Neurospora crassa OR74A: one gene and its partners. The protein of the gene in region 1 binds, or shares a complex with, the protein of each later gene. Links are inferred from orthologs where the notes say so. Each region holds a gene or a part of one and is shown in the gene's direction. Other genes may lie near its edges. The genes, in order: NCU10747, NCU04063 and NCU02808.

Region 1 (10,568 bases):
TCCCGGAGAGGGTCGGGGTCGAGGAATTGGGAAAGCGTGGGCAATAATGATGTACACGTACCAGATCAGCCAGCGAGTCCAGCTCTTGGCCCATCATGCTGCTCTTCTTCCTCCAACGCGCGACCTTGCCATCCATGAAGTCGAAAAACAAGCCAAAGGGGAGGAAGGCAAGCGCATAGTAGATGTTGGTCTTGTCGGCGGGGTCACCGAGGCAGTACCGCAAAGAAGAGAAGAGGGAGAGGATACCGCAAAGGCCTAGTAGAGTTGCAAAGGCGTTAGCATTCTGTGACCACGTCTTCTATGATATGCCAACTCGCGCACAAGTTGTGCGTCGATATCATCCTTGGGGAAAATCGCGGAGGTTGTGACGGTCTTGCTGCTTTGGCGCTTATAGCCCCAAAACCCAGCGTCACAAGCTATGCTAACCAGACAGAATGCGCGAAAGGATACAAGGAGACAAAAACTAACCATTCAATTCAGTAATGAGATCCGCGAGATGCATCGCGCGAATGAGAGAGAAGTGCCCCGCATCTGTAGAGAAGAGAATTTTTTGCTTGTCGTGAGCTACCGATTGACGCGCCATGTTAGCAACAGTTGTCTACCTTAAGCGCTCAAGGGCTTGCTCCTTTCAAACAGCGGATGGTAGATGATATCGAACAGGTTCGCATAAGGAAGGAAAACATACAGCGATCGAACTCGGCAGCAGCGGCGGAGGTGGAGTCGTCTTGGGTTGCGGCGCCATTGGCGACCGACGCATAGCTCGGCCGTTTCGACATGGTTGCGGTCGTAGAGATGGAGTGGAAAATTCACTTGGAATCTCGTGAATGGGAGAGATCAGATGGGTGTTGTCTCGTCGGGCGCTTGTCGTGTCTTTTATTTTTTCTCGGTTGGTTCTTGAGGGGGGAAAGTCGCCGGATGCAAGGAGGGTCCTGTAAATAAGAAGAAGAAAAAAAAAAAAGTTGATCAGCTGGTGCTCTGAGAGAAGGTGCAGCCTGCTAGTATTCAGTCGCCTCTGCATGCATGTGAAGATGGGATACCAAAGGGACAGCGGCAGGAGATGCTCACCAAAAGACTAGTTGAGGAAAGTTACTTTTACGGCCTTTTTCTTGCAAAGATGCAGAAGATGGGGAAGAATGTTTGTTGGTGAGGGGCTGGGACGAGTTTGAATGCCTCTACGTGACCACCTAGACCACGGCAGGACAACAACAAGGTGGTGGTATCCAAGTGCTTGTTGGTCACGGTGCCTTTCTGGTTTCGAGGTTCCCCCCTACGGGCAGTCCAGGTCAATGCTTCTCTGGAGGTCTGGATGAAGGGAATGACAGGGTCCTGCTTTTGTGGCAGGGGTCATGCCGTCATTCTGCGCAGCGAAATCTGGCCTTGGCGGGAGCCGGGGCGTCGACCGACTCGAGACCGCCTTCTCAAATCGTCCTTGGGCTGTTTGGCGGCCGCTTCTCTGCCGGCACGACTCGCTACCTTTACTTGACCGCCTGCCCTTCTCGTCCCGGCCGCGGGGACATTGTCCAAGATTACGTCACAAAAAAAGACGTGGTGATACAGACTTGTTAACCAACAACTTAAGCAAGGCTTCGAGACAATCGTCGATCGAGAGACCAGACGGATGGCGCGAGTCCTGCGCGTCATGACCTCCCAACACGTCTTTTGTCCTTGTTTCACTTTCAGTTTATCTTATTAACCTTTGTGTGAATGTGCTGCTTGGTTACTACCCGGCTTTGTCCAAAATCGAAACCCACATTCCGATCTTTGAGCCGTGACAAAGTCCTTTCCCCCTAACATCAAAACAGTTCGTCGCTCTACACTACGCACCCCTGGGAAATGACTGTACTGCAGAAACAACCCCAAGTACCTTCCCAGTTGACGGCCAGTCCACGAAGGGATGGATGTCTATGAACCGTTTCGCGATTTCACCTGTTCGTGTAGCTCCCTCAGCACACCACGCTCGGCAAGCTTCGTCACCCATTCATGAATTGCTGGCGTGTGGTCTTTTCTTCGACCAGGGTCTTCATTCTGAGCATCGCCGTCCTCGTCACCCTCCGGCCCAGACGCGACTTCTGTGTAGTACTCCGCCCGAATTTGCTCCTGCTTCTGGCGGAGCTCTGTTCTAAGAAGCAACGCTTCAGCCATCTCCATCCCACCCGTTTGTATATCATCTTGCAACCGACGAGCTTCTGCTGAATTTTTGATCATGAGTTTAGCTTCGTCAGTACTGAGCTGGAATTCGTCCAGCTTACTCTGATCGTTGAAGTTGCTGATATGGTCCTTGAACGAAGACGAGTCATTGCCTTCCTCGAACCAGGCCGATTCGCTTCGGAATGCATCATTGAGCAATTCCGTGCAATGGATGTTGACAGCGAGTTGACGCCGCAGTGCGGCCCGACGGTCTCCGCAAAGAGCGAGAAGGCTAAACGCCAACTGATCGGCCTCGTACTCCATCATCTTTTCTTGGATGACAGGTTGCGCTACACTCGTCCAGTGCGCCCCTTTCTCAAATTTGCCTACAATATTTGTTAGTCGCATCGTGTCTGAATTCTTTCGTTGAGTAGGAGAGACACACCGACGTAGCGGGGGTTAAACTTCAGCCCATCGAGTTCCCACACGCTACGGTCCCCGTGGTTTGGCACATATGCAACAAAGTGGTAGGCATCCTCCATCTCCTGCTCCTTCTTGCGGCGCGCTGTGGTTCTAGCCCGCTTTTTTTTGCTGTCCTCAACCTTGTTCTCGAGGGCCAAGGCTGCATTGAGAAGGTCCAGACGCCTGTTGAAACGTCAGCTCAAGCCGTTTATGCTCAGCCCTTCTGGGAAGCGGAATGCCGTACGTACCTTGCGAAATGATTATGAGCTACCCTGATCCACGAACTGTTACTGAGCAGGTGACCACGCAATGGCGGAGATAGCGGTCCAGATTCCTCCTTGAATTTGGATAGATTTATGTCCAGTGGAAGGTCTTGGGCGTTCATGATGATGTTGAATAAAGCGACTGTCGCACACGCGTTGTTGGTCGTCTGCCAACCAAGGTTAGCCACAGTCGAAAACAGAGGGAGGCGCCAAAGGACAAACTAATGACTTGCCTGGTTGGCGAACCATAACCCAAACTCCTCATCTGGCTCCAGATCTTCCTCCTCCTCTTCCATGACCTGGAATAGGAACACTAGGCCATACAGAGGTTCCCTACGCGCAGTCAGTACCTGTTGATACCCCTTGATGCAACATGGGAAGCGCCATCGACTCACGGGAGAAGGAGGAGCGATTCCTCGTCAACAGACAATACCTCCCTCACTTTTGCCTCCCGTATGCCGAGTAGTCTGAGAATACGGTTGAAGAAGACTGGGTCAGACTCTACGTCCGTCCAGCTTGGCCATTCTGCCAGCTCATTTTCTTGCCACGGTCCTAGCGAAGCCTCCAGGACGTCCATGGGCACGTCAAAGACTTCAGGGGCTGCCTTGCGCTTGGCACTTCGTCGGGGTCGAACAGCTGTCGTTGGCTCCTCTGAAGCGGGCGACTCCTTGAGCATCGATAATCGCTCGGGATCGGCTGACTCTTCCAGCTTTGCTGAGGCCTTCGAATCGAGTGACGCCCTCTTCCGGCTGGCCTTCACACCGGCAGACGAATTGAGTTCGTCGTCAGAGCTGAGTTCCGCATATCTTGTGTTTGGCTTGCGGGCACGCCCTGAGCGACGGGTTGTCGCCGGCTCACTATTTGGATCCATCTTTCAAGGAAAGTGTCGTGGAATGTACTTGATGGGTTCGACAAGCAGTAACCCAATCAAGCTGAGGGATGTATGTTGATAAGGCTAAAGAGGGGGGGGGGGCAGGCTGCTCGTCTTTTCCAGCTCTGGTTTTAGGGACAGTCGCCGTTTGGAGATAGTGTAGCGTGGGATCTTGCCTTGTGACTTGTAACCGTGAGACTCGGGATATGACATGCCGCGAACATTACAGGGAAGTCTGGTATGGAGGCTGTTTTGTTCGCTCCCAAAGTCGATGGGTGAATAAGGTAAATGATCAAATCTGAGAGGCAGTTCAAGTTGATGGAGGAGAGTACGCCGGGGATGTTGTAAGTGACTGCACCAATAACTCGCTTGCAATCAGTCCGATGAAAGTTTGGTGGATCAGCTCTTGGGTCGAGCCCAAACCGGCAGACTAACGAGCAGTGGATGTAGTGACGATCTCATGCGATCAGTAGCGACAAGATGGTGAGGTTGTAAAGAGAGAAAGAAAGACGGCCTTGATGGAGGTCGGTGTTATGTGTGTAAGTGCCGTCGCAGGCGCACACAGACACTTGGGCAGCTGCTACACTACATCCGGCCGGATACTGTGTAGTGTTAAGTATGTAGAGCCAGGTAGGTAGTAGACGGGAGGTACACTACCTACCTACCTGATGGCGGACCACCACTCCTGCAAGTGTCATCAACCTACCGTAGCATTTGTGCACCCCGGGTTTCACGGGAGCAATTTGAGCATCAGGTTCAAGTCTAGACACGTTTCGGATCCTTAAAGACGGCTACGACGATCTTATGATAAAGTGCTGCCCATCTTTGCCCGGTGAGCTACATGTTGCTCGACCTCTTTTGTTTACTTCCCCCTCCACTTTCGCTCAATACCTGGGTACCTACGTATTGTCCCATGCACTGTCTGACTGCTTGAAACAGCTGAAGGCAGGGGACCAGGTAAGCTTCAGAAAGCACTGACCAACAGAAAGATGGGGAAGGTTTCCCCATTTCTCCAATCACAATCGTCTAAACAGCCATTGGCACACGCTAGTAGGCCAGCCAAGCAGCACTTGCAGTGCGGGCAGCGACTGCAAAACCTCAAAGAGACCACAACCGCGTCTTTGACGTGACTTGTTAGTTTCCAGAGTGTTGGGAAATTTTAGGCCTGTCTCTGCCTGCCCGCAAACAGGAAGAACAAGAGGAAGACTGAGAATGCCTGTTTTGATGTCGGCTCTCCATATCACCACTACTGCCAACGACTGATTAACCACGCCTCTCTCTCCCCTCGTGGACCATTCATTCCTTCCCGTCCTTCGGCGATTGATAACAACGACAACGACGACGACGACGATAGCTACGAAAATCACGACGACAACCACAACGTGCACATTGTTGCGCCCCGTGGCCACTACCAAGCCGTCAAGCCTTCACAGACTCGGCATGCCATGGCAGGCAAGGACTCTATAGGCGGCTTTCCCATGGCCGGACCACGACGACCCGAAGCTGCTCCCGCGAATCGCGCCCGAACAGCAACGCCCAATGCCCTCCCCGTCGCCCCCCAGAGAAATGCACCAGCACCAACAGGCCCAGGGCCAGTGATCCCGCTTCACGTTATCGATGCGCCCACACAGCGCCTCTACGCCGTTGCCGTCTACGCGGCTCTTTTTGCGTGGAAGGTGTACGACTGGACCCAAGTGGTGGAAGAAAATACCGAGTCTTTCTGGCTGTTCCTCAAGTGGATCGCCCTAGACCTCATCTATCTCTTCGGCCTGCCCGAGCTTAGGATACCATGGCTCGAACTCTCCCAGTCCTTCGTCGTCTTCGCCTTTGTTGCCCACGCCTTGGTTGACTGGATGCTCATGTTCAACATCGGCCTCCCGTGGCAGACATGGCTGTTCGGATTTGTCAAGGTCTTTTACGACCGGGAGCTTGCCATTACCGAACATCAAGTCAAGGTGTCCAGCATCCTCTACAATCACTCCCTCCTCATGGGTAGGCAGATTATCAACATTCTCCCAGAAGGGTAAGTCATACCAAGCAAGAGCACTAGTGAAAAGGCCCGGCAAAGCTGACCATTCACCAGCTCTGTGGTGCTCAACCCCGAAAACACCCCGTACTGCATTGGAGGGGACACCAAGGTTGCCTCGATCCCTCTGTTCTTCAATGCGACAACTCCCATCGATGTCGAGATCATCCGCACCGACCTCGAGACCAACGAACACGAAGTCATCAAGTTGACAAGAAACCAGCTCAAGGAAATCAAGAATGAGGTCAAGAGGAACGCAGATGACGAGATCTTCACTGTTAAGTACAACTTTCCCGTCAAGAAGCCTGGTGCCTATCGATTGGGCAAGGCGCTTGACGAGTATAAGCTTGAAGTTCATCGCAGGACTGCCCTCACCTTTGTGGTCCCTTGCCCTCGCGCTAGCGTCGAGGTAGTCTCCTCGCCAAACCGCTGTGTCGGCGAGTTGTCTGATCTCAGCCTCTTGGTTGATGGCACGCCGCCACTAAAAGTCATCTATAGCCGCACCATCAACGGCAAAGACCACAGCTTCAACATCCAGAGCTTGCAGCCAGAGGGCTTCTCTTCTCCGCTCCTCGGTGCTTCGCGTAGTCTTGCGAGACTCATTGAGGATGATGACGTCTCCTGGGCTCGAGCTCAACGGGTCCCCGTCAACCTCAATGAATCCATGAACGCTGGTGGAGTCTGGCAGTATTCCGTCGATGAGGTCCATGATGCGTTCGGAAACGTTGCTAGGTACACCGGCCATGCTGACGACTTGGATCCCAAGACAAGGCCAAAGCATCTGGTGCAGAACCTCTTCGTCAAGGAGCGACCGCGTGCGCGTCTTGAAGGGTGCGACGTTAGAAATCCTCTCAAGGTTGCCAGGGGCGGTTCCAAAGATCTTCCAATCAGATACGAACTTCCTGGCCCCGTACCCGACGACACTACGTACACCATCAGCTGGCTATTCTCGCCGATTGACACCCTCACCAAGAGCGGTGACCATGGGGATGTTGTTTCTGTTGGCACCTACGACACCAAGAATGCCAGGGACCGGCCGAGAATCGCTGCGCCTGGTTTGTATACCCTCAAGTCGGTTGTTGCCGGACAATGCGAGGGAGAGGTGCAGGAGCCGTCTTCTTGCTTGCTGCTGAACCCTCTCGAGCCCAAGCTCACGCTGCGCTCGGAGGAGATTCCAGATACTTGCGCTGGAAATTCCATTGGGTTGCGCGTCGACATGGACCTCATTGGTACTCCACCCTTCAACGTCAGATACGAGGTCATTTCCAATGGGCAGCGTTCGGTGGAGCGTATCAAGGTTAATGGCCTACGTTTCCAGCAAGAATTCATCCCTAGAATTGCCGGACATCACAAGTACGTGTTCACACATATTGGCGACTCCATCTACGAACCTCAAAAGCTCAGCGGGCCCGAGTATATCCTCGAACAAGATGTCAAGCCAGCAGCTTCTGCCAGCATCATTCACAGCACTGGTAACATGGCCGCTTGTCTTAACGACGATGTCTCGGTGGATGTGCAGCTTCAAGGCGACGCACCATTTACGCTGGAATGGGAGATTATCCATGACGGCAAGAGAAAGCAGTACAAGGTCAAGGATATCCAGACGAACAAGTATCAGATCAAGACGGGCTCCCTTGCTAAGGGCGGCGAGTATACTCTGGCGTTGACGAGCGTCCAAGACAAGAGAGCATGCCGTAACTTTGTGCAGGATGAGGTCAAGGTCTCAGTGCGCCGCCAGAACCCAAGAGCAGCGTTTGGTCTTATCGATGCCAAACGCAGGACCATGGCAGTTGAGGGCTCGACGGTCAAGCTGCCGCTTCGCCTCACTGGAGAGGGCCCATGGAAGGTTTTCTACAGCAATGTCAACGATACCTCGAGAAACGCCCCCCGGGTCCTGGAAAAGACGATCAAGCACGACAATGACTTCCTTGATGTTCGCACCAAGGGTATCTTCCAGATCACAGATGTCTGGGATCGACAATGCCACGGCATTGTTGATCCGAAGGCATCGTCTTTTGAAGTCGACTGGTTCCCTCGTCCAGAGCTCGCCATTGTACAGTCTGCGCACGTTCAGCCAGATGGCACCAACAGCTTTGTTGTGAGCGATGTCTGTGAGGGCGACGTATCTGGATTTCAAGTTGCACTCAAAGGTAAATCTACTATCAGCCGCCCCATCAGGCACATTCCTTGGTTTCCCCACAGCCTGCTAATGTCTACACAGGAACGCCTCCCTTCCATGTCGAATACCAGATTCGCCATCAACCTGCGTCTGGGCCAGCTTCTATCAGTAGGAAAGATTTTGAAGCTGCCCTCGGCAAAGCTTCCGTCCCTGCAGACACCTCCAGGGCGGGCCAGTACACGTACACGTTCAACTCACTTTCTGATAACCTCTACATTAATGACCGGACTTTCAAGCCCGTGACTGTTAAACAGAAGGTTAATCAAAAACCCACTGCCGCCTTCGCCAAGCCCGGTCAAACCTTCAAGTACTGCAAGACGGACCAAGGTGAATCCGAGTCGATTCCCATCACTCTCAACGGCGTCCCTCCCTTCAACCTCGAGTTCGAAATCAGACACCAAAGCAGCCCGATTCCGGAAGTGTACCGTACGCCTGCAATCAACTCCAACTCGTACGAGATCCAGATCCCGCGTCACCAGCTGCGCCTTGGAACCCAAACGATTCGCATTCGCAGCGTTCGCGACGGCAGCGGCTGCCACTCGATCTCCGATTACACATCTGCCCACAGGGATACTCCCGATGGCAAGGCCCACTCGGTTCAAATCCAGCTCTTTGAGGCGCCCACCATTTATCCTCTCGAGACTCGCACCGACTACTGCGTCGGCGAACGTCTGGGGTACTCCCTTGCTGGTGCCGCTCCCTTCGAGGTTTGGTATACCTTCAACGGCGAGGAGTCAAGGGCCAAATCTCCCACCACGACTTTCCGCCGTATCGCCGAGCACCCCGGTGAGTTCACGATTACCTCGGTTAGTGACCGGGCATCCGAGTGCCGCGCTCCTGTCAACATCTCCAAGACTATTCACCCTCTCCCCGCGGCCCGTATTTCCAAGGGCAAGCAGGTGCAGACGGACATCCACGAGGGTGGCGAGGTCGAGATTCTTTTCGAGTTCTACGGAACCCCTCCGTTCGAGTTCACGTATACTCGCAGCACCAACCCCAAGAAGAAGGGTGAGCGTGCGACGGTGTTGGAGACCAAGCACGATATCAGCGAAGAGTATAGCAAGGTCATCAAGGCCAGCCAGGAAGGTGCATACGAGGTCGTGGCCATCAAGGATCGGTTCTGCGCGTTTTCGACGCAGATGCTTGGGGTGGAATATGTGGAGGGTAAGGATGGGCGGTTGCTGAAGTACCAATGATCACCTTCTTTGTGAAAATCAGAAGACAAAAAGGAGTAAGGCATGGGAGGTGGCAAGAAACGAAAAGGGGTCGGACATGAAGGGAGGAAGGCGGAGGAAAGAGAATCATGCAGGGAGTCTCAGAGAAACAATGCTGGGTGACACGGTGTGCTCTGGTCGGCTGGCCATGGCCACGTATGGCATGAAGTGGGCTGTTGCACAGCTGGAGGAAGCAAATCAAAAAAATTAACGATGGAAAAGAAGATGAGAGAGATAGGGTTCTAGGGATGGAGATCTGGTTTTCGTGTTTTCGTTTTTCTCTTTTTTTTTTTGTAACGAATTACTACCACTACTCTACATCCACTTATGTGTTTTTCTGTAGACTAAGAACATAGCATGGCGTTTTCTGTCTTTATGGGGAACGAACAATTACCACAACTCACGAGAATGAACGGAATAGGATATGATGGGAAGGCAGAAAGGGCGGGCGGCAAGGAAAAGGATTAATGAAAAGACTTGAAATCATGCTGAATCAGTGTTTCTGTTTCCGTGCGTCCATTCCTTGAAATCGAAAAAAAGTGTTGCAGTATTTCAAACGTGTTGTGTTGTCATATATATACCTTTCCATATTTCTATCCAATCCGTATCTTATGCAATGCTCTCTCTCTCTCTCTCTCTCTCTCTCTCTCTCTCTCTCTCTCTCTCTCTCTCTATACTTCTTGCTGAATTTTTGAATGGTCCACTTTCCTAAAAGCGACCAACTGCGCGAATGCGGACTCCATCCAGACCGGCCTATCCCATTCAAACTTTGTCCCGTATTCCTTCTCCTCCTGGTCTCCATCCATCCATCCATCCCCGGGGGAGTCTGTGCCTTCTTCGCCCTCTCCCCAGCTTACTTCATCCCGGAAGTCCTGGTTAGCCCCGTCACTACCCCCTCTCCCCATCACTAGCACTCTTCGCCCTCTTCGCAGGGCTCATATCTCCACTCGGTCGATGATGCAGCTTCTTGTTCGCCAGCACATCATCCCTACTTCTACTACCACTACTACTGCTACTACCAATAGTACTAATCTCCTGCAGGCCAAATAATAACGACCTAGCACCGGCTACCGGTGAGGAGCAGCTATTGCTTGCGAGGAGGGTTTGCTTCTTGAGGGAAGATGGCACAGGTACAGACAACACCGAGATCGGTGTAACCACTGGCACAGCAGCAGCACTCTCCAACCTATTCAGCGCCTCGGTGAGTTTTCTCCGAGCTTCGAGCTCTCTGTTGGTACTTGGAGAGCTGGAGAAGGATGAAGGAGGAGGAGGAGGAGGAGGAGAGGAGGAGCAGGTAGTAGTATTATAGGGGGAAGGTGACGATCGAGGTCGATAGAACTCTTTGACAATGCAGAGCGCGGCGTGGTAGACTTGGTAGAGGAGGAGGCGAATGCCGGCGTTGGGGAGGTCTTCGATCAGCGAGGAG
Region 2 (9,680 bases), on another chromosome or scaffold:
TCGCTTTGGGGAGTGTTAGTGAACTTACAAAGGGAGAAGGGAAAGAGGGAAAGAAAAGGCAACGAGGGGGGTATAGGCTCGTACAAGGCACCTCGTCGCCCGTTATCTAGAGGCTCGGGAAACTTTTCGTAGGCGCTGCTGAGCACGCCGGTTTGGTTGTTGAGGAGGCTCTTGCCGTCTTCGGCCTTTTCGGTGGGGAGGGGAGGGGCATTTTCGTAGCCTTCTAGGGGGGATTTGTAAGTTGGTCTTTGAGAGGGCATGTTGTTGTTGTTTGTTTTAGGAGTTTAGAGTCTAGAGTCTCTGGCTGAATGGGTTTGGGGTGAGCTGGTCGGGGTTGATTCTAAATTGAATTTTAGGGTACTGCGTCAACTCGGATGTGAACTGAAGTAAATAGGTGAGAACTATGTTAGGGTCAAGTTGAAGTCAAATATGGTGTCCGAATAGCTTCATCGACGTGATTCTCTCATGAGTAAGCATTACGAAGGTGACAATACGGATGACAAATAATGGCGGTCGTTTAAATGCCACGCTATGGGGTCCCGGCATGGCATCATTCCAGCATCCCACCCGTGGCCGAATGGCGATCCCGTCCGGGGAAGCCCCACCCCCGCACGGCGGCATCCCGACTGGACAGTCGGCACACGGGACCCCACGAGTTCCATGCCCCTCCGCTCACTTGGCCGGGAATGGCGACTCGACGAGAAGCAAAATCAGTAACCAAAATTCCAGTCCGAGGTATTCACACGTGTCAGTATCAGTTATGTGAATCCACGCTAATATGAGAATGATAAGCCTCCTGCTTGTTGTTGTGAGAATAATTATAGTACAATAACAAATGCCTATTACGCCGGTGTAATAGTAATAATACTCCGAAACAATGCTGACATGTAACAAGTAGTGAGAGAAAGTATGAACCATGCGCCTGCCTAGCCTCCTGTGGCCTTCTTGAACGCCATGCCCAAACCCTTGGTATCGGAACCTGACCCAAGCCATGACTGAAGCAAATCCTTTTCGTACCAAACAGTTCCATATTCATGTAAACCCTTTCCTTCTATCCCAGCAATGTGAAAATACGTCCCTTGGAAACCAGTCCATGCTCGGAAATGCGCAGCAACAAAATCGAATGCTCGACACGACATCGTGTCGATGTCCCCTAAACCGTAATAAAGCCGTAACAAAAGTGAGAAATCATGTAACAATACGATGTCGCGCCTGCAATGATAACAAACTGGTCGTCCCAGTCCCCATACAGTGATTCGATTTAACCAGCAGTGAGCCAAGGTCGAAACACGGTATCCTCGACTTTGAGGTGCCGAAAACTTAAGCGGAAGAAGCAGGCTCAGCGGAAGCTATGCCCTTGTCGTTCGCATCCAAAGAGCCAGAGACATCGTCGTTGGGGCCAAAGTCGGAAGGGCTAGTGCTAACCTGCTCGCCAGTCGCCACATCGACAAGCTTATCACCGTCGACCTCGACCTCTCTGTTGCCGATGCGACGCATCAAATCCAGGAAAGTCGACTTTTGAAATTTCTCGGACTGGTTGTCGGCGACCGAGGTCAAAATGGCGTTGGCTGCCTTGGCCAGCTCCTCGTTGCCCTCGCGACGACGAGCCTCGGCTTCTTCCTTGGCTTCCATCTCTTCAGCGAGGTTCTCCAGATCAGCATCGATAGTGGCCATTTCCTCGTCGGTGGGGGGGCCGACTTTGGTGTTGTTCTCGGCGCTCGGACCGTGCTGCGCCATCCACTCGGCCTCGGCAGCCTCAAACTCCTGCTGAGCTTGCTGAGCCTTCTCGGCCTTTTCCTTCTCGGCCCACTCAGCAAGTTCTTGCTCAAAGGAAGACTCGTCGTACTCGCCAAAGGCTTTGTTAAAGGCTTCGATGTCAAGTGCCGACTCGACGTGGTCGTTGAGGCCGAACTGAGGCTGCTGATGAGTGAAGTTGTTCGTGGCTGTGCCATGCATGACAAAAGGATCGTCCATGGACAATCCCATTCCCATTCCCATTCCCGTACCCACACCCATTCCCATACCGCCGAACTGGCGAGTGTTGTAGGCCATATGGTCGTCCTGCAAGCCCATCATGGAGTTGTGGGTTGCAGTAGACATGGCTGCCGGCATGGCTTGAGGTGACATGGCCGGGGCCGCGTGAGCTGTGTCCTGACGGAGCTGCATGCTGGCGAACTGGTCGACCCAGCCGTGGGCAGCGGCACGGGAGGAGTGCATGGGACTGGCCGTAGCCGGCGCACCTCCGACCGCATGACCAAAGACACCAGGCGCTGGACCAGCATGAAAAGCCGGGACGCCTGGGTTGTTCAGGAACGTATTATTCGCAAGGCCGAGGGAAGGACCCGGGGCGTCGAGCATAGGGGCTTGCTGAAAGGTCTCAAAGGCACCATCAGCAGCGAAGGAGGGGCGGTTTCTGAAGGACTGGATGGGTTGTTAGCACCGAGTTACGCTGGATATTCTACGACAAGACAAAACAAAAGAAAGCGATCATATCATACAGCACCGGCAGCCGAGTTGGGCGAGTTGACCAGGCGGTCCTGGTGAAGAGTGCGGTCGCGATCAGCGTGCGCAAGAAGGTTCTTGGCACCGTTGGACGGGCCGCACATGCTGTCAGACATGTTGAGCGAGGTTTGACTTGTTGGAAGCAAAAAGGCGAGAAGCGCGGGTGACGGTAAGTTTCGAGAAAGAAATTACAAAAGTAGAAGGTTTTATAAATAAAGAGTGAGGAACGAAATGTCCTTGAAGAGAGTATATAATTATTGTAGAGCGAGGAAGACTTGGATGAGTGAGCGAAAGGAGAGTTGTAAGTTGTAAGTAATGTAGATTAGTGGCGCGAAAGTAGAAGCCGAGGTTCTTTGAACAGCGCGATAGTAGTCACCGAACCCGCCGGTATCTCAAGTCTTCAACGCTAAGTATTTGGAGAAAAGTAGTTGGAGAGGGGGGAAGATGGAAACGAGAAAAAAAAGAGTAAACAACGCCGGACCTAATACCACGAAAAGGACGCGACTGATTACTGTGTGTAAAGAAATCCTTTTAGCAAGCAAACAAAAAGCGTCGCTGATTTTGAACAAGTAATTCTGGAAGAAGGGTCAAAATGGTCAGGTCTGGTTGAGTGAGATTCCATCCCAACTTTTTGTGACGGGAGTGAACGCTGCCACGGCACTGGCGAAATTCCCGTCGGGGTAGCCATGCGCTCACACGCTATCATGTGCACGGCATGTTCAGTGGACTTTTACAGCGGGACGGGAGAGCCCAGGCGACGCGTGGGGTCGTCAACGGGCCCCTGCCTCACCTGCCCCACCTTGGTTGTCTCAACAAGAGTCCACTTCGAGCCTCCGACCTGGTTACAATAACGTCACACCACGGTGAGCCTACGAGGAAACCGACAAAGGCTCCACTCACCTTGCTCACCTTGCTCACCTTGACTTCTTGCCAGCTGGACCACATCGCTCGACAGGGATCACTGCGCAAGCGTCAAGTGGAAGCTCCAGCGCAGCAAGACGGGTTCACCTATCGTGTCGCCTGGGCGTCCACTGCCTGTAGCTTGCAGCTTCCATTCCCAATGCCCGTCCGTGGTGATCCAACTTAACAGCAACTGAATCCCCAACGACGGCCCTTTTTCCTTTCTACTACTCTGAGTAGTGTACTTTATAACTCCAGTCTGAATTCATTCATCACCCAAAGGACGCAAATACAACTCCATACAAATCTATTTGTCTTTTCCACAATCTTCAATACTCCATAATTAATCAACATGGTACGTCCTCTTACACCCCCAAAGCTGCCGGCGGCGTCCCTCCCCCTTACTTGGCTACCTATCCACTAACATGAAGCTATCGCGACAATGACAGACCGCAGGCGCACAGGTTATCGCCAACTCTGGCCACGATGATATGATTGTACGCTGAACATCGCCCCCTCGACGTTTCCCGACAACCATCCCTCTGTTTCTAACCGACCCTCGCAGCACGATGCAGTTCTCGACTACTACGGCAGGAGGTTAGCGACATGCTCCTCGGATCGCACCATCAAGATCTTCGAGATCGAGGGCGAATCACAGCGACTTGTTGAGACATTGAAGGGGTATGTTTGCGATGGGCTACAGTCACCAAACAATATGGACAATGGGTTAACCTCCCTTCTTCCGACAGACACGATGGCGCAGTTTGGTCCGTAGCATGGGCGCACCCCAAGTACGGCAACATCCTCGCCTCGGCAGGCTACGACGGCAAGGTTCTCATTTGGCGCGAGCAAGCCGGCAGCTGGCAGCGCATCTTCGACTTCGCCCTACACAAGGCTAGCGTCAACATCGTGTCCTGGTCTCCCCACGAAGCCGGATGCCTCTTGGCCTGCGCCTCTTCGGACGGCAACGTCAGCGTTCTCGAATTCAAGGATAACAGCTGGGAGCACAACATCTTCCACGCCCATGGCCTGGGCGTCAACTCGGTCTCGTGGGCCCCCGCCACCACCCCCGGCAGCATCGTCAGCAGCAACCCCGGCCCCGGCTCGACGGGCAACAGACGCTTCGTGACTGGCGGTTCCGACAACCTGCTCAAGATCTGGACCTTCGACCCCGCGACCAACGGATACAAGCTCGAGCGCGAGCCCCTGGCGGGTCATACAGATTGGGTGCGCGACGTTGCGTGGAGCCCGACTGTGCTTCAGAAGAGCTATATCGCAAGCGCCTCGCAGGACAAGACGGTGCGCATCTGGACGAGTGACGCGGCGAACCCGGGCGAGTGGAAGTGCAAGGTTCTCAACTTTGATGCGGCCGTCTGGCGCGTTAGCTGGTCGCTCAGCGGAAACGTGCTGGCCGCCAGCAGTGACAACAACAAGGTCACACTATGGAAGGAGAACCTTAAGGGCGAGTGGGAGAACGTCAAGACCATTGAGGAGTAAAATCACATGGGAATTCGGTCACGTTATGATGATGATGGGTGGCGAGCGTTAGCATAATATTGGTAGGTAGGATATCTACTCATCATCCAGAGTGGGCGTTATCGGGTAATAAATAAGGGAGGCCAGCGAAAAGGAGCAGGCTTACCTTCGGTTTCACAAGAACATATCCAGGTTGGCTTCACATGAACCGCTCGGGACAATGAAGAGATCATACCGAGTTTTATCTTACACTATCACATTACCTCGGGCTTACGGGGAGTACATTTGACCCAGTACATCCCACCTCCCAAGTCATCAACGCGCCTTATCCATCTTCTCTTCCAACCATCCCAACACAATCTCCCTTCCCCTCTCATCCAGATCCCCAACACCTTCCAAATCGCCAATCGCCATGTCCTGATCGTCCACCACGCCCACGTCCGCCACCTTGACCCTCCTCGCCGCCTCCAGCTCCCAGTGGTGGAGGTCGATCAAGTAATCCTCGTCCCACTTCCGCCGCTCTTTGAGTTCCAACATCTCAATGCTCCGCTGCATCAGCAGCGCCAGTTCGTACGCTTGCGTGCGGAAGCTGTTCTCGCCAGCGGTGATGGCGACCGGGGGTTTGCGGTGTTTTCGCGTTTTGAGACGAGGGCGGGGTTTCTTCTTTTCCTCTGCTTCGCCTTGTGCTGAGTCGCCCTCTTCGTATTTCTCTCCCTGGCCTTCTTCTTCTTCTTCTTCTTCCTCCCCCTTTATCTTCTTCTGCTTCTGCTTCTGAACACCACTAAGTCCCTTTTGATTTCTGTTCCGGGCCGCGGCATCAACAACCCCATCATCCTTCCCCCCCTCCGACGACCCAATCTTCGCCAAAGCATCACACTTGAACGGCAACTCCGCCGACGGCGTCTCATACAACAATAACGTATCCGGCAGCTTAAGCATGGAGTGCCTCGGCGGGAAATGCACATAGCTCTTACGTGGGAACTTGCCAGGTAGAATCTCTACCTTGAGAGTTTGTTGGAGCATGTCTTCGGCCGCTACCTCGTCCGGCTCGCCTTCGGCGTCGTTGATCATCGACATGTGCATACGGTAGTGCTCCGAGTGCTCCGAGTTGTCGGGATCGAGGTCGTCGGTGGGGTTTTGGCTGGCTGGGAGGGGCGACGGAGCCGGAGGTTGGTGAGGAGGGGGAGTAGAGGGGGAAGTCAATGGGTCGTGGGGTTCGCTGGGGACGTCCGCGGGGACGTTGATGTCGCCGCTGCTGACACCATTGGCGCCGGTACCGGCACCGGTAATCAATGGCCCTGGAGGTGGCGGAAAAAGCCATTCAGGAACATACTTCTCATCAAAAGTCGTCGGAACAAAAAGTCCCGCCGTGTGGAAAAACAGACAAGCGCTAGCAAAGCTGTCAAACAGTCCCGACGGCGAGCCAAAGAGATCTTCGAGCCGACGCTGATAATGGGCAATGATGGGTGAGGTGGCAGCCGGTCCTGCATCTTTGTCGAGGTCGCGGTTCAGCTTGTGCAGCTGCTCCTCGATAAGGATGCGGTCGTCGCCCTTGGGCCGGTGGATCGGGTGGTCAGGCAAGAAAGTGGTCCAGTCGTAGATGCCGTTGTAGGCGAGGAGACCGCGTACGGCCATGCGCGCGTGTGGGTACGACTCGGTGAGAGCCAGCCCGGCGGCCAGACTGGCGCCAAGGTAGGAGCCGCAGATGTAGACGTCTTTGCGTTTGGGGTATCTTGGTTGGAGGTTTTGAATGATCCAGGAGTAGCCAAAGAGAACGTCGTGGATAGGGGTGGGCCAGTGAAGGGGAGTTATGCTGATATCTTCTTCCTCTTCCTTGGGTAGTCGCTCTTCTTCTTTGCTATTAGGCGTCTCGCTCGATTGATATCCTTCATCGTCAAAATCGGGCTCTTCAATCTTTGGCTTGAGTTTTGGCTGTGGTCTGTCGTCGTATAAGCCAGACCATCTATAGTGAATGACAGCGGCCGAGTATGTGTGAAGCCATGATGGGAGTTGATAGTTCGGGTCAGTCTCGTCCCGAGCAGCAAAGGGCGGGATCCAGATGATTAAAGGATCGGTTGGCGGCCGGTCAGCGACATTGTACAGACTGAGCCACAGATATCAGTCTAAAATTGGCCTTCGTCACTCACAGCTCCCAAGGAGACTGTTGATGTTATGTTGACCACCTACCTGACGGTAATTTCACCAGAAGAGGCGCATGGAACAGTATAGCGTTCTATCGAAGGCTCAAACGGGGGACTGCTACTGTAGAATCTTCTATGGGACGCCTGGTGCGAAAATTTTGGTAAAGCGACGGTGATGCGCCTAAGTCTCAGTGCTAGAGTCCATCTGGACATCTTCTACGGAGTTGCCAGTGTATGATGAAGTTCTGGCATAGTTTCTTTGTCAGACCCTTTCTCATTTCACGATTTTACAACTGAGTAAGAGGCCTTGGACACTGAACGAGAAATTCTTACTCGTCGGAGCACCAACTTATCCCTTCGTCTCTTTCCTTTTCTAGATGCAGAAGAATACCCCATGGGAGGTTATGACTTGCCAAGCTGGATAGTCAACGTTGATGTCACGATCAAAGCTGGGTGTTGTTTTGGTGTTGTGCTGCCGCCAGAAATTGTTAAGAGACGACGACCATAAACAAATGGAGATACGTACCTACAGCAAATCACTGTCTGGCATCTGGTGGCAGCTGAATTCTATGGAAAGTGGGGCCATGTGACCCTCCACAGAACAAGCTCTCGTTAAAACCTTGGCAGAACTTGGCTTTTAGCGATCACCGCAGCCCTCCAGAACATGTTCTTGCCCAGGGCAGCACGTCATATGATGGATGGGGACGGGAATCAACGTGACAAACAACCCGACATTTCTCTTTCAGCTTGGAAAGGGCTGGCCAGGTTATTCCAGGAAAGTATCAAACCAACTTGTCTTATATCTTTACTACCGTACCTACCTAGGTAGTCCCAATGAACCACCACCGACATTCATTCATGCTTCGTCCTTGCCGCCGTGATGCTACGATAATTCGACGATGACATTCAACAGCAAGCGTCCATAGGGGAACCCATCCCGGTACCCCATGACACTTCATTTTACAACTATCATCATTTTGTCTTTCTTTTTTTTTTTACTGTATCTCTCTTATAATCGCATTAATACTACCTATCTGACAACATGCAGGACGCTGGTGGTGAGAATGTGGAGGAACATCTTCAAGAGGTCGATGCGCAGTACAAGGCCTCACTTCCCAAGCTTATGGGAGAGGACCAGGCCCATCGAGATCCCAGGTAAGTCACATCAGAGTCGTCCTTGGGTACTCAGTTTGTATACGAGTATATACTGACGGTCTGGACTTTGTCAAGTCGATGGTGGTTTGCCTCGGCTGCTTTTCCCATGGTCGCAGGCACACTTGGGCCCGTTGCAAGCGCCTTCAGTATCTGTGCTCTAGTCCGGCCATGGAGACAGAATTACACCAAAGGGGCTGACATCAAGACCGCCACCTTCATCAAAGACCCAGCCTGGCTGATCGCTATCAATGCAGTCCAACTTGCCATCGCGCTAAGCTCCAACCTGGCGCTACTCCTTAACATGACCAGGAGACTCCGGTTCTCCGTCGCTCAACCCGTCACCATTGTCGGATGGTACCTTTCATCCATATGCTTGATAGCCCTCGCAAGTACGACAGCCGGACCGCTGAGACCGGAAAACAACGACTTCATCTGGTCTGAAGCTTACTTTTACGGCATCTACGCCGCAGTCCTGTACTTCGTTGTCGCTTCGCTCATGGTAGCTACCGTCTGGGGATCTCAGCAGGGGCACTACGCAAAGGATTTCATGCTCACACCCAGTCAGAGGACACTGATGCTACAGACCATCTCATTCCTCATCTACCTCCTCATCGGTGCCCTTATCTTTTCCAACACCGAAGGATGGAACTACCTCGATGGCGTGTACTGGGCGGCCGTGACGCTCTTTACCGTGGGATTTGGCGATTACTACCCTACCTCAACTCTCGGAAGGGCTCTCCTCTTCCCGTACTCCCTGGTCGGCATTATCAGCTTGGGTCTCGTTATTGGATCCATCCGCACTTTGATGCTAGAGCGCGGCAAGAAAAGACTTGATGCACGTATGGTGGAAAAGCTCAGACATCGCGTGTTAAGCAAAATGGCCAAGAAGGGAAAGGATGGTATACTTACACCCATAAGGGATGCAAATTCCGATTCCCCTGAACTGTCTTCCAGCTCTGGTCTGACCGAGTTCCAACGGCGACAATCCGAATTTGAGCTGATGAGAAAGATTCAAAAGCAGGCGACTCATAGGCATCGCTGGATAGCTTTGGCTATCTCTACAAGCACCTGGTTGGTCTTATGGCTCGTGGGCGCCAAAGTCTTTCAAGAGTGTGAACGTCAGTATCAACAATTGACCTACTTTGATACTTTTTACATGGCATATGTTAGTCTAACAACCATCGGATACGGAGATATCACACCGGTATCCAACGCCGGAAAGTCCTTTTGGGTCTTTTGGGCACTCCTCGCTCTTCCGACTATGACAGTCCTGATCTCTAATGCAGGAGATACCATCGTGAAGGGTATCAAAGATGCCACGGACAAAGTGGCTACCGTTACCATTCTTCCTAGCGAGCGGGGCTTCAAGAGCGAGTTCAAGGCAACCTTTAATGCCCTTTCCCATGGAAAGCTGTTTACCGAGGATATTGAGGAGTCGCCCCCAGGAATACATGGAGCTTCACAGCGCCATAGGTACAGCAGCGAGGAGAACGATGACGAGGGTGA
Region 3 (10,280 bases), on another chromosome or scaffold:
AGAGGTAGAGAAGATGCCATTACGTTGATTTTGTCAAGGTCCGACGTACTTGGATTGAGTTTATTAGCCAGTGGTGATGATAAGAGTAAACTTGAAAGAGTGAAGTAGAGAAGATAAATACATTGATTCCGCCATGAGTCTTCGACGTAATGACCATCTTACCATTATACTAGGCTATGGTAATGGCTCGGATAGATGGAAAGAGTCCAAGAATATACCTAACAATACTCTTCATGGGACACAGTCGAGTATGTATCCGTACGTAACTCTATTCATTTTTCTCTTTCTAGACCTGATAGTCTATCATACCTATCACAATTCCCTCCCCCTTTTGAAACTGAACCACACCCGAAAAAAACCTTCTTGTCCTTCGCTAATTACAACACCTGATATTATAACAAGTCTCAGTCTATCAAAGTAATCACCTCCTGTACATCGAATAGAAGAATAGAATATAATCATCATCCTTTTCCTTTCCCCCCTCCATTCCCTGATCCCCAACCAAACCAACCACCCACACTCTCACATATATATATACCCAATCACACCCACCTCCCCCACCCCGACTTATGTACTCACGTACTTACTTACTTACTTCCTAACCTTCCTTGCATGCTTCACCAGATTCTCAATCACCCCTTCAAACGCCTCCCGATCACCAATCTTCTCATCCGTCCTCTGCTGCCAATACACCAACACCTCGGACGCCACCCCTTGCATCGCCTCCAATTTTTGAACATGCTCTTTGAGTTCCTTGTCCGTCATCCCCGAAAGCGCCTCATCCGTCGTCTCGCACAGCTGCTTGGCAGCCACTAGGTCGAATACCGGTTCGGGCGGTGGTCCCTTCCTAGCGGAACTGGAAGAGCGGTTGGCGCTTCCTTCTGTGTTTGATCCTGCGGCGGCGGCGACGGTTTTGTTGACGGGTGGTTGCTTGGATGGGTTGCGGCTTGAATTCGAAGTCGAAGTAGTGGTAAGGTTTTGGCTGTTTTGGTTGTTGCGGAAGGCAGCGGCGGCAGAGCTAGCGCGTCGCGAACGACCTGTGCGTTCGTCGTCTGCTGCGTCGGGGTCGCCTAACGAAGGCAAGACGAGTTTCTTTTGTTTGGAAGCGGGGAGGATCTCGTCTAGGTCGACGGGGACGCCGAGGGAGACGAGGAAGAGACGACGGATGCGGGAGCGGATCCAGTCGGGGGGTTGGAGTGGGGGAGGGGCGACGAGCTGTGACCAGAGGGAGGCGGAGCGGGGGTGTTGGAAGATGGGGTCGGTGATGCCGTTGGAGACATTGAGGGTGGGGATGGGGGAGGAGGAGGAGTCGTCGCCGTCGGTGTCGGGGGAGGGAGGGAAGAGAGCGTTGAGGTAAGGGGAAGTGAGGGAGAGGATCTCGGACGCGGAAAGGTGGGTGAAGTCGGGTATTTGCTAGGGGATATGTTAGTGTGTGTTGGACGTAGAGGGAGTAACTGGGTTGGGGACTTACGAAGGATAATGAGGACTGCGGTTGTTGTGGTTGCGGCTGAGGAGCAGGTGCTGGAGCTGAGAACCCTTCGGCTTCTTGGAAGTCATCGTCGTCAAAGCCGGCATCGTCAAAGTCGCCAAAGTCAGCATCGTTGTTGGCCTCGGCTCCCTCCTCAAAGTCGTCAAAGTCATCCCCAAAGTCATCGGCGCCAGCCGGAGCTGGCTCAGCAAAGTCGTCCCCAAAGTCGTCATCACCAAACCCGTCATCGTCGGGGGCTTTATCCCCTGCTTCAGCAAATCCGTCGTCGTCGTCGTTGTCGAACCCATCTTTTTCAACAGGCTTCTCCTCTTTCTGGTCAAAGCTGACATCGTCCTTCTTGTCCTCTTCTGGCTCGACCTTCTTCTCGTTCTCTTGACTGGGTTCTGCCTCGTCGAAGTGGTCCTCTGTGTCTTCTTCCTTTGTATCTTGCGTCTCAAGCTCTTCGCTGGCATCCTCGAACTCGTCTCCTTTCAATGCTTCTTCGGTGTCGCGGTCTTTTGACTGTTCCTCCTCGTGCTTCTCGTCCTCCACCTCTCCATCTTGAGCCTGCTCAGTCTTGACCTCTACATTCTCCTCCTCCTTCTTGGATTCATCTTCATCGGCGTCTTCGTCGTCGGCGGTCTTGGCGTTGTCTCGTACGACATTGTCGTGCGCGTCATCTTTTGCCTCCTCCTTTTCTAGAAGACTGGGCCCCAATGAGGGCGAGTCAGGGGATGGCTGGTCTAGATCAGATGACGAGTCTCTAGAATGGATCGAGGCGGGACTCTTTAATGCAGGTGGTATTGGTGTATCTACGCAGGAAAACGTAAAGTCAATACAAAGGAGATCTTGTATAATTTGCTGGCTCAAAAAAAAACAAACAAACAGGCATGTGCTTGTGAAAGTGTGTGTGTGTGCGCGCGCGTGTGTGTGTGGCTAGAAAGAAGTGCTACGCATCCGTACCATTGTCACCACCCTTCTCATGCTCGACCTTTTGCCCATCCGCCTTGACAAGCACGTCGGGAGGACTGTCAACCCTGTGCCTCGCTTCGATCTCATGGTGGGTGACGGCACCAGTGCTATCTGGCGTCTCCTCCACTACGGTCATGGGAATGGGGCGCCCGCCTGGAGTGGACGGCCGGCGCTGGTCATGCTCCTCGGTCGAGAGCTTGGTGTCTGGGTCTGGGATAATGGCAAATTCATCCGGCTTCGCGTCCCCTTCCCTCATAGAATACGCCTTGGTCCCCGGGACCTCTCCATACGCCGGCTTGTCGTCTACTCTCTCGACTCTTGTTCGCGGGATGGGCGAGGAGGGAGCTTTGGGAGAAGAGATGGCATCGGAGTAGTGATCTTCGGTGTCGGAGCCTGTTGTCGCGTAGAATGAATGGTTAGTTGGATATCCATGTGCCGACTTTGTCCAGAGGTCTCCCAAGTTCCCCATCAGCTGTAACCTACCAGGTAGCTCATGAGCGCCCGGGTCCATGGTCCCCTGCCTCTCGGGAGGCGACAGACTGTTCCTGCGCGAAGCCATTGTGATCTCGAAGCGTAGTCGCGGCGGTCTATACGATCAAAGAACAAGAGGATTTCCGACTATGGTGAGTGCTGAAGGAAGCGCAGAAATGTATATGGTAGGTAGGAAGCAAGATAGGTGTATGTATATGTATATGGATATGGATATGGATATGGGAGGATCGGGATCGGGGATCGGGGGGCCAAGGTGAGGACTGAGGAGTGATGTAGTTGGTGTGGGGTGCTACAGTATGTTTACTGCTGTGAGGGACAGGACTGGAGTGTCCTATAACAAGACGGGAGTAAGCCGACTCTTATACTCTGCAGGAGATAGGTCAATTGCACGCAGCAGATGGCCTGAGGTCAAAGTGAACTGAATCAAGATTGGGTATGCACACAGACGTTGCGGCTGACTTGTGGCATCCCAATGTCCAGACGATGGACAGCAATGTGTGTGGAGAGAGACGAGAGAAAGGAACAGCTTCCGGATGGCCTAGAGTTAGTCTAGAGGATGGGCTCACGATGGCCTAATCTAGAACATGGGGTAACCACCACCCCAAGCTTTCCGAGACGACTGAACGGGGCTCCTGCTTCTTGCTCGGCTACCCTGGGACGGTGCGGTACGGTACGGTACGGTATGGTACTAAGGTACCGCCGTGTCCGGAAACTGTATGGTAACTCGCTGCGTAATGTGCTGCAACCAGACGGTCCAGTCAGAATGCAGAAGAGCATCACGGCAAGTGGAAAGTCAGCACTTCGCTTCAGTTTATGAGGCCCGCCCCGTCATTGCTCAAGTTCTCCGTCAGTTGTCGAACTGCCGTCAAGCCACATATTGATTGGCCGTGCACGCTTGGCACTTGCTAGTAAAATGTTAGACGGGGTAGGTGAGGTGAGGCTGACCACTTCACCTGGGGCTGACTCGTTGCAGTGGTGACTGGAGTGCTCCAATAAGCGGGAAATGCTTGGCCTTGTTGAGTGCGCGTCCGGGTCCCCAGAAGGGGAAAAGCCCAGGCGCGCTGCAGCACCTCCAAAAAAGTGGAAAGGCCTGTCGCGACGGACGGAACCTTGACAAACAGAGACCGAGAGACTGAGTGACGCTGCCACACTTTCTTTGCTTTCTCCAATCCACGCCCAAACGACGTCCACGTCCACTCCACCAAACGGATTCCGAACCGACGTCCAAAACTCGCGATCCGATAACCACGGCTGGACCATTGCATCACTTACTCAAAACCGAGATCGCGCCGATCTTCCTCTTCGCATTTCAACGAATCGTTGCTTGGGTTTCCGCGCGCTCCCTGTTGTTGTTGAGGTAACCGCAACAGCCTTGGGAAGTGGGACGCTGTTGTTGACTTTCTAGATTTTGGTTGACGACGACTACCCAACCACCAACGCCTCATCCATCCATCCAACCAACCAACCCCGAAACCTCGACATCATATCGTCAGCCTCACATAATCGCAATCATGTCATTCTTCGGTACACCAAGCTCCAGCGCGGCCTCGGGCCAACCAGCAACAACTGCTACATCCGGTGGTCTCTTCGGAGCCTCCTCCTTCGGCACCCCAGCAGCGAGCTCGACACAGCCAGCCGGTAGCTTGTTTGGCGCTAAGCCTACAGATGCCTCGAAACCTGGAGGACTATTCGGAGCCAATACCACCTCGACTACACCTTCGCTTTTCGGCTCTGCTTCCAACACTGCCGGAGGAGGCAGCACGACGCCTGGCGCAGGCTTGTTTGGAAACACCACTGCCAACACATCGACAACCCCCGCCGCTGGTGGCTCGAACTTGTTTGGTGGCGGGGCCAGCACCACACCCGCAACAGGAGCTCCTTCGGGAGGTCTGTTTGGAAACAATGCTTCTACTACTCCGGCTACCGGTGGTCTCTTCGGAGCTGGCGCCAACTCTCAGACGACGCCGGCTAAGACCTCGTTTGGACTAGGATCGACTACCCCAGCCGGTGCACCACCTGCTGCTGACGCTTCCAAGGCCGCGCCCTCTCTCTTTGGTGCTACCCAGCCTGCCTCTGGCAACCTCTTTGGAGGAGGAGGAGCCTCGAGTACCCCGACCACAACCCCTGCCCCCACCTCGGGAACAACACCATCTCTGTTCGGAGCGAAGCCAGCCGAGACCACCACCTCTGGCACCACTTCTGGTCTCTTTGGCGCCAAGCCAGCCGAGCCTGCGTCCAGCACAACTCCCGCGACGACAGCCACTTCCGGATCTACTCTCTTTGGCGCGAAGCCTGCGACCAGCGGTGGCAGCCTGTTTGGCGGAGCCTCGACAACCCCGGCTACGACATCGACCACGACCACCACAGCACCAGCAACTTCCGGCCTCTTTGGTGCCAACACAAGCAAGCCGGCCGAAGCCGCAAAGCCAGCTACGGGTGGTCTGTTCGGCGCCACTCCTGCTACCTCAGCTCCTGCCACCTCTACCACCACTGCTGCTTCCGGCAGTCTGTTCGGCGCCAACAAGGATGCTACCACTACCTCTACTGCCCCAGCATCAGGAGGCTTGTTTGGATCGACTACGCCTTCGACGACCACAACCACGGCGCCTGCTCCTTCGTCTTCGACCACAACTAGCGGCCTCTTCGGTGCGGCCACCACCAAGCCCGCCACTACCACAGCGGCCACCACCACTGCCGGTGGGAGCACCACCGCCACTGCTGGAACCACCAGCAGTCTCTTTGGAGGAGGAGCCAAGCCTGCGGACACCACCACCTCCAAAACCACCACCAACAACACCACTACTGCCGCCGGCACCACCAGCACCACCGGCAACCTCGCCTCCACGACCACCGGCCCCACTTCTACTCTCCCGCGGTTGAAGAACAAGACCATGGATGAAATCATCACCCGCTGGGCCACCGATCTCTCCAAGTACCAGAAGGAATTCAAGTCGCAAGCCGCCAAGGTGGCCGAATGGGACCGCCTCCTGGTCGAAAACGGCGAGAAGATCCAGAAGCTGTACACCAGCACGTACGAGGCCGAAAAGGCCAGCAACGAGATCGAGCGCCAGCTCTCGGGCGTCGAGTCGCAGCAGGACGAGCTGACCGCGTGGCTGGACCAGTACGAGGCACAGCTGGAGGAGTTGTTCAAGAAGCAGCAGCTTGGATCCGGCGGCGAGTCAAAGGCTGCTGGCGGTGTTGGCGACGGCTTGGGCCCCGATCAGGAGCGCGAGAGGACGTATAAGCTTGCCGAGAAGCTGACGGATAGGCTGGATGAGATGGGCAAGGATTTGGCCAAGATGATCAAGGAGATAAATGATATGACGGGCACGTTGAGCAAGGGGAGCAAGCCTGATGATCCGGTATGTTTTTCTCTCTCCCTTTTTTTTCTCCTCCTTTTTCTCTCCTTTTTCTCCATTTTTCCCTTATTTTATCCAATCACTAACGCACACGATAAACAAAACACAACAGCTCAGCCAAATCGTCCGTGTCCTCAACGGTCACCTTCACCAGCTTCAGTGGATCGACCAAAACGCCGCCGACCTCCAAGCCAAGGTGGCCGCTGCCCAAAAGGCTACCAGCGGCATGGGTGCCCACCAAGGCGTCAACGAGTCGGATGCCGCTCAGAGCTTTTACCGCTCGTACAGGGCCGGTGGTGTGAACAGGTGAAGGGAAAGGGAAGGGAAGGGAAGGGAAATAAATGGGCTTTGATGATGCTGTATTGTAGGAAGCTAAAGTAAAGTGAAGTATGAGTGAAAGAGAAAGAGAAAGAGGCTGAAGAATCGGATGGCGGCGAACTTGTCTGTGTGTGTGTGTGTGTGTTCAGTTTTGAGTACCCTACCTACCCTAGTTTGTTGGTTTGTTGGTTTGTTGGTTTGTTTTGTTAGTCTGTGAAAGACCATCATGGTATGATTTGAAACGTCTTGTATATGTATCGTGGCTGTGGATGGGGGGGGATCGATGATGTTAATTTACGTAGCTGAGATCTGTCTGTCTGTCTGGCTTTGGGATGGGTTAGGAGACAAGAAAAAAGGCTATGCTATGCTAGGCTGGGCTAGGCCACTTATTCTAGGTTGTGGAAGCAAAAATCAATAAACAAGATGGGTTCAAGGTAATGGCCACAGTCCAAAAAGGGGTTCATTACATCTGGAAGGGAGTTCATGTGTCTGTTTTTTTCGATATATTGTCTTCATATGATGTCGAGTGAATATCATACATATCGGACTGCCGAACTGTACATATAGGTACCGACTGCCAGGAGTTTCATTTTGAAAACCGAGACGTAGAGCATCATTGTTGTGACTCAGAACGTCGGTGGGTATCAGTGAAATTTCTTATAAGACGGACTTGAAGTTGTTAATACTTCAGTAAAGTACCGTCCCGTCTGCTTTCTTTTTCATGTTCCATGTAAGTGGCATTAAGATAATGAAGAGTCTTGAGTCTGGATCAAAGTAACTAGGTTTTGAAAAAAAAAATTAGTTACGGAACTACGTAGGCTGGCTTGCTTTCCTGATAACTTCATTACTCTTCAGCCGCATTATGAGATTCTGGTTCAAGGGCAAGCCGATGAACCCAATATCGCCCCTACTGCAGCACAGGAACTGTTCGACTCGTTTTGGACTTTCTCATAAGCTCGGTTCTGTCACGGTTTTGCTTTAGACACTTGTTCGTCCCATTGATGCAACTTGTGAGGTCCATAGGTCCCCCGGTCGTGATTTTGTGATCATCGATCATGGCTTTGCTCGCTATATTGCTACAAGGGGTAAGTTTGAGATATGTGTAAGATGACACTCATCCTCGGCGCGCCGTCCGTCCCCGTAGCCCAAGTCCCATCCTTTCTTAACCCCCCCAAATCCTTGGCCCCTTCTCATTTCATTGCATTCATACTGCGTAGGCGTAGTGGCGTGTGTAGCGATGGGACGTCGCGAGAGGGAATGATAATAAGCAGAGGAAGAAGAAAAAAAAATATGTTTATGGGTTGTTATTGTTGCTTGTTGTTCGTTTAGTTGCGCTCGCCGCCCTGCTCCCTGGTGATCTCGTCACTGTTTCTCGAATGTTAGTAACTGCCTTGTTTTTAGAACTTTCTTTTATTTGTGAAGGAGAATCGAGGCCCGGCTTCCTCTGATGATGGTGTGCGTAGCTGACTACGGCCCATATGATGCGCGCCCGGCCTGGTGTGTTTGTGGCGACTATGCGCCGGTGGTGGCTGTTGGCTGGCTGATGGGTCGTTCTTACATGTGATCAGAAAGAGTCTTGAGGTGCTTCTGCTGCTCGGCGAGCTTCTTCTTGAGCTCGAGGAGCTTCTCCTTCTCGCGCTGGCGGATAGCGAAATCCTCGTTGGCCTTCTCGCGGCGCTGGAAAGCGTCACTGGAATGGGAGGGTATGATGTCAGCGGGTTTGAACTAGTTGGAGTCGCCGCGTATCCACGTGCGCGTGCGAGGAACGCGGCGGAACAAAAACTCACCCTGGGCCGCCGGTCTTTGGGGGAGCACCAGTCTCACCGGCGAGAGCGCGGGAGGTGGTCGCAAACGCCCTGGAAACGGTAGGGCGAGCGAGCTTGGAGACGGTGGTGCGGAGCATCTTGATGGTTGGTTTGGTGGTTTGGTTGGACTAGAGTGACGTGGGTTAAGCTTTAGCGGATGGGGTCTCTTTTCTTAGGTTGGCGTGCCAGAAGACAGATTTGATGGGTGATTTGATTAAAAAGAGTTGAGTGTATGTATGGGAGAAGATGTGTTACAACAGTTGGACAGTCGCGGAAGTTGGTGTAAGCTACCTTTTTCTATTGAATCGTCGAGTTAGTTGTCAATGCGATTACGTTGTGTAGGCGATGGTGATCCAATTGCGTAGTGTACACTTGCTTGGGATGACCTGACGAAAACTGGAGACTGGAGTTCGGGGACGGGGATGGAGCTTCTCGGGTCCGCAGGGACGTCGAAGCTCGGTTCTGTTCTCCAGCGAATGTCGTCGCGGGTTGGGGGTTTGTACGTACCTTACCTTCCATACCGGGACAAGGCTCAAGGCTCGTGGCTTCTGGCGCCGACTTGCTCCGCCTGTCCGCTGACGGCTCGGCTGTGGCAGTCGCTGACAGTTGGCAGCTTTACCGCAATCGGGTTGGATCAGACAAACCTAGTTCTCGCCTGAGGCAGCAGTTTGTTGCGACGACACTCGACAGTGTTCTTTGCGCAAGCTTCCATGGCACGCTCAACCCCACTGCCCCGCCAAACCTAGCTCACCCCTCTTCCCACTTTCAGCTGTCTTGCTGGGAGGTAACGAATGACGCATCAGGGGCTGAGAGGGGGTCCGAAAGCAATCATGATCTGGAGTCAATCAATGCCCTGGAGTGAAAGACAACCACAAACGAAACTCCGTCGTGTGTCTTAGACCAAGTACCTAGTTTTGTCAACAAACGGCCCAGGGCAACAACTCCCCTGATTCAACTTGTCTCATTCAGTGATGTTGTGACTTTGATTGCAAGCACGCAAGAAGCAGGGCAACTTTGCAACCTGAACGCCACCACCTGCTGTGAACACACTCGGCAGTGAGATCTTGGTTGGCGCAAGCGGGCGGCTCTGTGGGTTTGCACAACCCAAACCCAACTTGGAGTCCCATTGAACCCTCCAGCCGTTCCAGCCCGAATTCTATATCATTCATTCAGAGTGTCTCTATGGGCGGCTTGCCCCTCCAGCCTTCTTGCATCATAGTATTGTACCAACTACCACGGCATGGATTTTGCCAAACTCCATGGAGCCGGAGATCATCGTGTTCCTGGCATTCGTGAAGGGCCTTGCGATTGAGCAAGGTCAGACAAGGGACCCTGGGTGGACTCCATCCTCTCAATCATAAATGCGGGCCCATCCCTGTCCATCGAGGTCTGGACAGCGACCTCACGGCGAGAGGGATGAAGCTCAGCTGATGCTATAGGAACGGTTACATCTGGAGGGCGACAACATGTAGGGCGAGACCCGAATGGTCTCTAGATGGCTTCAGCGTGATGGGTGTGAGCAGAAAGATCTCTTGAAATTGTAGAGATGATGCCAAAGCAAGAGTTGTAGACCGTGAGACCGATCCCGTTTGGCCAGGCGAGACAGGGTCTTGTTTAAGGACATAGGGGCTGGACACCAGGTGGAATCCGAGCGATTGGTTTGTTTACAGCAGTACATAGAGACTTGTAGCCGTGGAGAGAACTAAGCGCATGATCCAGATATGCCGGGCACTTTATGCCATAGAGACGGATGGATAGGAATTCATGGAACAACGGAATCTAGGTAGGGAGCGGCAACCAAGGTCCAATCGCTTCAATCATGGCATCCATCCGTTGCGTGTATGATTCCAGGTTGGCGGGATGAAA

Evidence for each region.
Region 2: NCU10747 (region 1) and NCU04063 share a complex: the UniProt entries of both Schizosaccharomyces pombe proteins name them as parts of the nuclear pore complex. The link is inferred for Neurospora crassa OR74A from reciprocal best matches to the Schizosaccharomyces pombe genes pom152 and sec13.
Region 3: NCU10747 (region 1) and NCU02808 share a complex: the UniProt entries of both Schizosaccharomyces pombe proteins name them as parts of the nuclear pore complex. The link is inferred for Neurospora crassa OR74A from reciprocal best matches to the Schizosaccharomyces pombe genes pom152 and nsp1.

Annotation. Positions count from the first base shown.
Region 1 is NC_026507.1:2,685,900-2,696,467, reverse strand, and holds NCU10747 (hypothetical protein), read left to right. Parts: upstream 1-4,820; 5' UTR 4,821-5,168; coding exon 5,169-5,746; intron 5,747-5,806; coding exon 5,807-7,899; intron 7,900-7,970; coding exon 7,971-9,124; 3' UTR 9,125-9,633; downstream 9,634-10,568. Other genes in the region: NCU02381 (phosphatidylserine synthase), read right to left, coding at 62-255, 469-564, 686-776; NCU02382 (hypothetical protein), read right to left, coding at 1,903-2,513, 2,573-2,772, 2,838-3,019, 3,086-3,185, 3,248-3,723; NCU02383 (hypothetical protein), read right to left, coding at 10,031-10,568. UniProt on the Schizosaccharomyces pombe protein: Functions as a component of the nuclear pore complex (NPC).
Region 2 is NC_026506.1:2,619,750-2,629,429, forward strand, and holds NCU04063 (protein transporter sec-13), read left to right. Parts: upstream 1-3,532; 5' UTR 3,533-3,754; coding exon 3,755-3,757; intron 3,758-3,851; coding exon 3,852-3,899; intron 3,900-3,967; coding exon 3,968-4,083; intron 4,084-4,151; coding exon 4,152-4,899; 3' UTR 4,900-5,193; downstream 5,194-9,680. Other genes in the region: NCU04061 (hypothetical protein), read right to left, coding at 1-3, 85-260; pex20 (peroxisome biogenesis factor 20), read right to left, coding at 1,321-2,421, 2,499-2,618; NCU04064 (hypothetical protein), read right to left, coding at 5,194-6,982, 7,066-7,232; NCU04065 (potassium channel protein), read left to right, coding at 8,062-8,174, 8,250-9,680. UniProt on the Schizosaccharomyces pombe protein: Component of the coat protein complex II (COPII) which promotes the formation of transport vesicles from the endoplasmic reticulum (ER).
Region 3 is NC_026501.1:9,050,161-9,060,440, forward strand, and holds NCU02808 (hypothetical protein), read left to right. Parts: upstream 1-3,836; 5' UTR 3,837-4,443; coding exon 4,444-6,294; intron 6,295-6,403; coding exon 6,404-6,601; 3' UTR 6,602-6,951; downstream 6,952-10,280. Other genes in the region: NCU02809 (hypothetical protein), read right to left, coding at 592-1,413, 1,472-2,280, 2,432-2,833, 2,924-2,999; NCU02807 (uncharacterized protein), read right to left, coding at 7,935-7,974, 8,168-8,299, 8,397-8,512. UniProt on the Schizosaccharomyces pombe protein: Functions as a component of the nuclear pore complex (NPC).